2 linked regions of the Saccharomyces cerevisiae S288C genome follow. The protein of the gene in region 2 purifies or fractionates together with the protein of the main gene of each other region. This does not show direct contact. Each region holds a gene or a part of one and is shown on either strand. Other genes may lie near its edges.

Region 1 (5,238 bases), on a different chromosome or scaffold from region 2:
CTAGCCAAAAGGAAAGGTCGTGTTATTGGCATCAACTTTGCCTTCTTATTCATCGATTCATTAGGTGCTTGGCTATCTATCATCAGTGTTATCCTAGGTAATATGGATATTATGGGTATTATATTATACTCAATAGTTGCTGGAATGGAGTTAGGAATTTTCGCGTCTCATTTCATATGGTGGTGTAGGTTTAGATTCCTAGCTAAAGGCAATACTTTTGACGAAGAAAGTGGCCAAGCTCAAAAGGAAGAACCCGATGAAAAAATCGAACAAGATATTAGCAAGAGTGACCGAAATGTTACTAACTATAACCTGGATAACTGTTCAATCCCCGACGATGCTTCGAGCTTTGCAGACGATTTTAATATATACGATAGTACTGATGGGGGGACGTTATCAAGAGCCCAAACATTGCATGCTGTCCATGGAGTTGTGGTTAGAACAGATCCTGATCGTTATTCGAGGCTAAGTGTGTAACGAATCTGAGTCCTTTTTAGTTAGCACGTTTTCATCTCTTTTTGATAGCACGCTTAATAATATTCACCACTAGCGCAGTAATATGGCATCTGCCGCAGGTGTAAAGGTTTTCACTTCGCTTATATTCACAATACTATGCGTTCAAACACGGCCATCAGAAAAGATCAAAATAAGGATTATTAATTAAAAACTTAAACAGAAATTCAGTTTGCAACACCCTTCGCAATGGCGAAGTTTCCAAAAACAAAATCTCCAAACAAGATTAACATTCTTCTTATGTAACCACATGATATGCATATTTTATATAGACTGTACACATGAAAAACTTTTATCGTCCAAAATAATTAAAAGAAAATTTCAATCATACCATAGCACACTGTTCCAGTAACTGAGAAAAACATTGTGAAGCAACCAACATAATGCCAGATTGGCGCCAAAGTGAACCGACTAAATAACAACAACAGGCACGCACAGATCAAAATAAGGGAAACCAGTAAGGAAATGATAATAATGGCTATGAGAATATTTTGAATTTCTAAATCTATCTCATTATTACTTTGCCCGCGAAACAAGGATAAAACGATTCCCAGACATACACTTGCCATAATGCAAGATGTTAGCAGTGCAGACAAGTATAAAAATGTAACAACTTCGTCATGCCTATATTCGTAGATAGATTGTGAGTCCTCTATGTCTTGCTGTTGATACTGTAAGTACCTTTGAACGTCATCATATGACGCTGAAGTTGATTGTGAACCAAATGACGCAACAGAACCATAGTTAGTTGATGAACAATGCGGATGCTTAGAGTTTTGAAACAAATCTGGCGATGTTTTCTTGTCATGGCGAATCAAGTTTCGTAACTTCTCACAAAAATCATATGTGCGGTTGATGAAATTCCGGCTAAACAAAATAAACCCATAATCAGGCGGAGAATTTCTCAAAAGTAAGGATTCTTCGTTATCTGTTGTACTCCTGCTTCCATTAGTATCAATGTAAAAAGCATTGTCTAAATTATCCTCTTCTTGTTCATCAAATTCATTCCAATACCTAATAGGTTTCTTTTTAGTTTCATTATCCGATTGCTTTGATTTTTTGTGAATTCGAACTCTTCTGCCGCTGTCAACACTACCTTGTGAGTTGTTTATCGGCCCAGTCAGGTCAAACTCTTCCTCTAGACGATCCTTGCCCAGCTGGAAAAATTCATCAGGTGATAGCGAATCATCGGAATTTAATTTATATTGATCTCTTAGTAAAAGTTGAAATAAATCATTTTGCAATTCATTTGAGTGTACTAATTCTAAACATATTTTCCATGTGGTTAAGTCTGGTGGTATTAAGCTGCATTGAAACTCATTTGTAACAACTGATTTCATTAACTGTTTAAACTTATTGTCTTCATTAATAGCCGTCTGTGAAAGACCACTGGATCGACTAAGCTTTTTAATTTCTAAAATTGGAAAGGGTAATGTAGATACATTTCCAATAGTGATAGATTCATCCAAAGCTATCAAGTATATATCTCCATTGTCTGCTGATATGAATCTTGTTCTTTTAAAATCTAGCTTTGGTTCAATGGTTTTTAATCGATGGGACTGAATCCACTCCAAAGCGATCTTACTGATTGGCGATGGATCCAGTGAGTTTATGAGAGCGCTAATATTTTTTGTGTCGTTGCCACTCCTCATGGCCGAAAGAATATTCTTTACATCCCTTAGAAGCAGATCATTTGTGACAACATGATTTCTTAAGCCGCCCACGTGGCACATTACTATACAAGTATCCTCAGCAGTAGAGCTGACTATCATGTTTGGGTGCTGATTTATATTATCATCAGTAAGTAGTAAAGGACTGCCTTCGTTCCCGACAGTATCTAGTATACTAATAGAAACGTACTTCTCATTGGATTGTACAGCAGAGGGTAATATGTTCTTCTGTTTAGATAGGGATAAGGTATGTTGTAAGTCATTGAATGACTTTGCTGATCTTATAGATTTGTTGCCCGCAGAATTAATATTATCTGTAGTGTCTAAAATCTCCTTTGAAGTGGATATGATGCTATCGTCAATTATCCTAAAACCAATATTCAATAGCATGAACTTCAGTCCCTCTATGTCCTCGGACGATAATAAAAACCTTCCTAGATTCTCTGCTTTATCTATGAGGGCAGTATCGAATTCTAGCGAAGAATCAATCATTTTTGAAGTTTTCTTGTTTGAAAGTAGCGGAATTGACCTTGGAGATGCTGGCAAGGAAGAATTGTTGGCTTCTGGACTTGAACTTGTATGGGCAGATTCATCGGAGCGGTTTAGGGATCTTTGCTCCACTGCTGGCTCAGTTGCATCTTCAAGTTTATTTTCCAAATCATGTAAAACATCAACAATTAGCGAAACTTCTAAAAGATATGGATCTAAATCAAGCTTCATAAATGATATGCCTTCGTGTCCATTTCGTAAACTTTCAGAGTTTCTGATCGACGTAACATACTCACTTGCAGTCAATGGATTTTCACTGTCTTGAGGAAATTCATTTAGTAATTTTTTGAATAACTTTCTCAAGGCAATCCTTTGTATTATCAAAAACCTTGACAGTAGTTGTAGTTCAAAGTTACAATCGTCTACATGAGCGTTGATGATTTTCAGTTTACGAAGGTTGAAACGGTTTCTGGAAGTTTTGTTTAAGCCCTTTGAAAAATCGATTATTGATGATTCCACAGAAAGAATACGAGTGGAAATTTCCTTTATTTTCAAAGAAACAAATAAATTAACATTTTGAAATTCCTGGTCAAAGGCTACTGAACATTGATTCAACAACTTCTCCATGCCCGAATCATTTGGATTGTCATAATCATAAGCCGTTACTTTTTTTATGGCTACTTTTAACTTCTCATAGTTAATATTGTAGAATTTCCATTCAGGGATTGATTTATTCAATATGCGATCTTCAAATTTCATGATTGTACAACCCTTCGTATCTATCCTTACCTAGGGCTGAGATGGAGATATACAAAAAAAAAGCAAAGGTAAAAAGCAAGTATTAAACTCTATCTCTATTATATTCAAGAGGGCAACGGACGAACTATTAATTTATGAATTTTAAAAGTCCTTTGATAGCGTTCACGATAGGGCTTTTTGATCTTGCCTTTGTTTATCTTTTTATCTGTTTTGTTTTTTTTTTTTTTTTTTTCTTGGTTCAGTTTTGACTCTTCCACACACCCATTTCGCTAGCGTAGAACAAGGGGAGACACAAACTTTCTTTTCCTTGCAAGTTAATAACACAACACCCGTCCTCCTGCACTGAATTTACACAGAAGTTAAGAACCGCCTCTGCTTTTCTGGTATTATTTTGCAGCCTTGCCTAAAAAAAGTGTGGTAATTTTTGAGAATAATATATTACTGTGTTTTTCGAAACGAAAGTTCTGAATATTGGCTTGGTCGCTTCCTGATATCTGGAAACTTGTTTAATGTTTTTAATTATCAGTCTTCAAAGCGTCCTGATATGACTTGCCACGTTTCCATCCATTCTATATGTAGTTTAAATACAATGAGATAAAGGGTGCCTGCATGGAACTTTCCATTCGAAAAAAGAGATCATAAACCTTATCTGTCAAATAAAAGCCAATCTATTTGATTAGGTAAAAAAAGTGATGTCAGACCAAAGTGCCCCTCTCCTGCAATGATCATCGATTACGTACGGGTGTAATGATCACGACAGTAAAGTGAGCAAGGTAACTACTATCCCTAAGTGCGGCGTCATTGTAAGTCTACGACGTAGCATATTCAGTTTACTGTACAAGAAAAGTTTTCTCTCTGTAACAAGAGGAAATTGGTTAGCTTTCTACGCTTACTTCGTTTGGTACGATCAGTAAAGGTGAATAAATTAAGATCCACGCCTTCATATGGCAGGATCCACGATATTCCTTGCAATACCCCTGGATAATTCAAAAACCAAATGTTACACGGTATACTTGAAAATCGATACCATATTAGGAACACACCGGCCAAAGGTTGATAATACTTGGTATGAGATAAAACCCGAGCTCAAGGTTTAATGTTAAAATTTTTTGTATATATATATATATAGTAATGGGCTCGGTTGCAAATTTTTATGACTATCTTGAAACTAGTTGAAATTGCAAGAACCGTCACTCTATGGAGTACATGAACAACTAAAAAATAGCTTGAAGATACTTGCCACTCCATGCCATTTCTAGAAAGGGGTCTCTTGAGAAATGTGTGTTAAAATAACGGTTATATAGTTGGAAAGAATATTACTATTTTGCGATTAAGGGATGCCGTATGGCAGGCAAGGAAGTATTTGATCAAGAATACCGATTAATGAAGCATGTTTGCCATTATCGTTGAACCTTGGTATTTCTCAGGTTTCCTTATCGATACGATAGGAATGAGAATCAACTAACATTTATCGACTACAATTCATTATTACTACTATATTATCAAATGCTCTGCAAGGAGATGACCAAAAAGAAATGAGAAACAGTCTTCATCTCAAAATATAGGCAATTACCAGGTATACGATATTTCCTCAAAATGAAAATGCCTAAAATACGACAGAAAAACTTAGGGTGACGACTTTTTAACTAATCACTGAATGCAGCCGAAGCAAGTAATTATTTCCCTCGTTGCTACTCATTGAGGCCGCTCCATATGGAGATTTGAAAAAGGTTCTATTGATTCTTTAACTGGTGTCCATCCCCATGAGAACGTTTTAGTTAATTAACTGCTGGTAAAATAAGCGATA
Region 2 (4,533 bases):
GTTCTCCACGAACTACATATACTATTTCTATTTACAAAATAGTGTGATATTTCACCTTCTATGAGATGAAATACAAAAGAAAGCTTCGCTGCAAGGTTGAAAGATAATTAGCACTTATTCCTTGAATAAGTGGGCAAGAAAAAAATATTAGCCCTGTAGGGGGCTCGAACCCCTAACCTTATGATTAAGAGTCATACGCGCTACCGATTGCGCCAACAAGGCTAATTCGTTGAAAAATCCTTCAATTCCTGAAAATTATACCAAGTAAAAAAAGGAAAATTGCCTGAAAAATTATTTTTTTCAATGCCATCGATCTATGAAAGTTAAGCAAATAACAGCCACAGTAGAAGAGAAGTTGAGTGAATCCAACACCCACCACTGAAAAAATCGACACTTAAACAAAAAACTTTAAACGTTATGAAAGTTCTTGAGGAAAGGAATGCATTTTTAAGTGACTATGAAGTCTTGAAGTTCCTAACAGATCTAGAAAAAAAACATCTTTGGGACCAAAAAAGTTTGGCTGCGCTGAAGAAAAGTCGCTCGAAAGGTAAGCAGAATAGGCCCTACAATCATCCTGAATTGCAAGGTATTACTCGCAATGTGGTTAACTATCTCAGTATAAACAAAAACTTTATCAACCAGGAAGATGAAGGCGAGGAACGAGAAAGCAGTGGTGCAAAAGATGCTGAAAAATCGGGTATAAGCAAAATGAGCGATGAAAGCTTTGCTGAGTTGATGACTAAACTGAATTCTTTTAAATTATTCAAGGCTGAAAAACTGCAGATTGTCAATCAACTTCCTGCCAATATGGTCCACCTTTACTCCATAGTGGAGGAGTGTGATGCAAGATTTGACGAAAAAACAATTGAGGAAATGCTAGAGATCATCTCTGGCTACGCATGAGTGTACAGTGCTTTGAATTGATTTGGACTGGCACTTCCGAAAAACAGAAATTACTTTGTTGTGTAACAATATAACATGTTCAATGAGTATGCATGTATTATTGAACTTAAGCATATAGAAATATTTACAAGAATATACTTTATTTTTTAGAGTTTATTGCGCACACTTTGGGTTAGTCTCGATTTTTTTTATTTCCATTGGAGGAAGGTTATTATTTGGAAATTTAGTGCTGCGTTATAAACGTCTGTAAAGCCAGTACCACAAGCAACTTCGGTGAGATTTAACTTTTGTTTATTCTGTATTTTTGTCGAGGCTTAAAAGGGTATACTAGTTGAGGGCGTTACAGTAATCCCTTCATGGCAAGAATAAAGTAATAGTTATATAATAATTGTCATACGCATTGTTATACCAGTTGACGAGTAAAAAAAGACGCACCGTGACTTCAAGAGCTGTCGCAAACAAGTTCGACAATATTTAACTTATAAACATATTAAAGCTTTCAAAAATATAGTCTTTCGAAGAGCTTTTTCATACTAAGAGAAGCGTTGCTAATATTCCGAATTAATCACGCAATTGCCTCTCTGCTTTCCACGTAACCCATCATAGGAAATTGTATTAATATGTTACTTACTGGAATTGCACAGGAAAACACCGACAAAAAATTGGTTTGTCTGCGTTTTGACGGAGAGCTACTGACTTGTAGGTTCACTTTTTCACACACCGCACTATGCATATATGTTGCATTTTTATTATTCATCCGCACGTGGCTGCACACGTGAATGAAAAAGAAGCAATACTATCTTTATATATTGAGGCAATCAGAAAGAAGTTACAGGCTAACAATCAAATCGGCCAATAAAAGAGCATAACAAGGCAGGAACAGCTATGAAGTTTGGTGAGCACTTGAGCAAGTCTCTTATTAGACAGTACAGCTACTATTATATTAGTTATGATGATCTGAAGACTGAGCTAGAAGATAACTTATCTAAGAATAACGGTCAGTGGACGCAAGAATTGGAAACAGATTTTTTAGAATCTTTGGAGATCGAGTTAGACAAGGTTTACACATTTTGCAAAGTTAAGCATAGTGAAGTTTTTAGACGTGTAAAAGAGGTTCAAGAACAAGTGCAACATACTGTTCGTTTGTTAGACTCCAATAATCCTCCTACTCAGCTAGATTTTGAGATTCTAGAAGAAGAACTAAGTGATATCATTGCCGATGTTCATGATCTAGCAAAGTTTTCGAGACTAAACTACACTGGTTTCCAAAAGATTATCAAGAAACACGATAAGAAGACAGGTTTTATCTTGAAACCAGTTTTCCAAGTTAGATTAGACTCTAAACCATTTTTCAAGGAAAACTATGACGAACTAGTCGTTAAAATTTCCCAACTATATGATATTGCCAGAACTTCAGGTCGCCCAATCAAGGGAGACTCATCTGCTGGTGGGAAGCAACAAAATTTCGTTAGACAGACAACAAAGTATTGGGTTCACCCTGATAACATTACAGAATTGAAGCTGATCATCTTGAAGCATTTACCAGTGTTAGTCTTCAACACTAATAAGGAATTCGAAAGAGAAGATTCCGCTATTACTTCGATCTATTTTGATAATGAAAATCTAGACCTTTATTATGGCAGATTAAGAAAAGATGAAGGTGCAGAAGCCCACAGATTGAGATGGTATGGGGGTATGTCTACAGACACGATCTTTGTAGAAAGAAAGACCCATAGAGAGGATTGGACTGGTGAGAAATCTGTCAAGGCAAGATTTGCGCTAAAGGAACGTCATGTTAATGACTTCTTAAAGGGTAAATATACTGTTGATCAAGTATTTGCCAAGATGCGTAAAGAAGGCAAGAAGCCAATGAACGAAATTGAAAACTTGGAGGCGTTAGCATCCGAAATTCAATACGTCATGTTAAAGAAAAAGTTGAGACCTGTAGTGAGATCATTCTACAATAGAACTGCTTTTCAATTACCTGGTGATGCAAGAGTTCGTATCTCCCTTGATACAGAGTTAACTATGGTGAGAGAAGACAACTTTGATGGTGTGGATAGAACTCATAAGAATTGGAGGAGAACTGATATTGGTGTCGATTGGCCATTCAAGCAGCTAGATGACAAGGATATTTGCCGTTTCCCATATGCAGTCCTGGAAGTTAAATTGCAAACTCAACTAGGTCAAGAACCTCCAGAGTGGGTACGTGAATTAGTCGGGTCTCACTTAGTTGAGCCAGTCCCAAAATTCTCCAAGTTTATTCATGGTGTGGCTACCTTACTAAATGATAAAGTGGATTCAATCCCATTTTGGTTACCTCAAATGGATGTTGATATCAGGAAACCTCCACTACCAACAAATATTGAAATAACAAGACCCGGTAGATCCGATAACGAAGATAACGACTTCGATGAGGATGATGAGGATGACGCTGCTTTGGTTGCTGCCATGACAAACGCACCCGGTAATTCTCTTGATATAGAAGAATCTGTTGGTTACGGGGCTACTTCGGCCCCCACCTCCAACACTAATCATGTTGTTGAGAGTGCTAATGCTGCTTATTATCAAAGAAAGATCAGGAATGCCGAAAATCCTATCTCCAAGAAATACTATGAAATCGTGGCATTTTTTGACCACTATTTTAACGGTGATCAAATATCTAAAATCCCAAAAGGTACTACTTTTGATACTCAAATTCGTGCCCCACCGGGAAAGACGATATGTGTGCCAGTTCGTGTGGAACCAAAAGTTTACTTTGCCACTGAAAGAACCTACCTGTCTTGGTTGTCCATCTCGATATTGTTGGGCGGTGTCTCCACTACTTTATTAACATATGGTTCACCAACAGCCATGATTGGCTCCATTGGGTTCTTTATTACTTCCTTGGCTGTGTTGATACGTACTGTTATGGTTTATGCCAAGAGAGTGGTAAACATTAGACTAAAGAGAGCAGTAGATTATGAGGATAAGATCGGGCCCGGCATGGTTTCTGTGTTTCTAATTCTCTCTATTTTATTTTCCTTTTTCTGCAACCTAGTTGCTAAATGAATACACAGCGTGTTTTTTTTACTGTATAATTAAGTAATAATCATATTAGATATAATAATTTCTTTAGCGCCATTTTTTTATATATGAGAACTACCCTCTTGCCTGAAATGCACACCTTCACCAGGCGCACACTGGTTCAAAAATAGTAAACAAAATCATGCGAAAATACAATAAAAGACGTTAACTTGATAGAATGAAAGCGTACGCAAAGAAACGTATCTCTTACATGCCATCGTCACCATCACAAAATGTTATTAACTTTGAAGAAATCGAAACTCAAAAAGAAAACATTCTTCCCCTGAAGGAAGGCAGATCAGCAGCGGCACTCTCGAAAGCGATACATCAACCACTGGTGGAAATAAACCAAGTTAAATCAAGCTTCGAACAAAGACTGATAGATGAGCTCCCTGCATTAAGCGACCCAATTACTTTGTATCTTGAATACATAAAGTGGCTGAACAACGCCTATCCACAAGGCGGTAATTCCAAACAATCTGGAATGCTCACCCTTTTGGAGCGATGTTTATCTCACTTAAAGGATTTGGAGAGATATCGCAATGATGTTAGGTTTCTTAAAAT

Evidence for each region.
Region 1: the proteins of VTC4 (region 2) and VTC5 purify together in Saccharomyces cerevisiae (affinity purification with western blotting; 2 studies listed by BioGRID, with this or other methods). This does not show direct contact.

The regions. Positions count from the first base shown.
Region 1 is NC_001136.10:620,305-625,542, reverse strand, and holds VTC5 (Vtc5p), read right to left. Parts: upstream 3,432-5,238; coding exon 822-3,431; downstream 1-821. Other genes in the region: ILT1 (Ilt1p), read left to right, coding at 1-477. UniProt on the Saccharomyces cerevisiae protein: Regulatory subunit of the vacuolar transporter chaperone (VTC) complex.
Region 2 is NC_001142.9:410,655-415,187, reverse strand, and holds VTC4 (Vtc4p), read left to right. Parts: upstream 1-1,788; coding exon 1,789-3,954; downstream 3,955-4,533. Other genes in the region: DNA-directed RNA polymerase III subunit RPC17, read left to right, coding at 418-903; MAD3 (Mad3p), read left to right, coding at 4,148-4,533. UniProt on the Saccharomyces cerevisiae protein: Catalytic subunit of the vacuolar transporter chaperone (VTC) complex.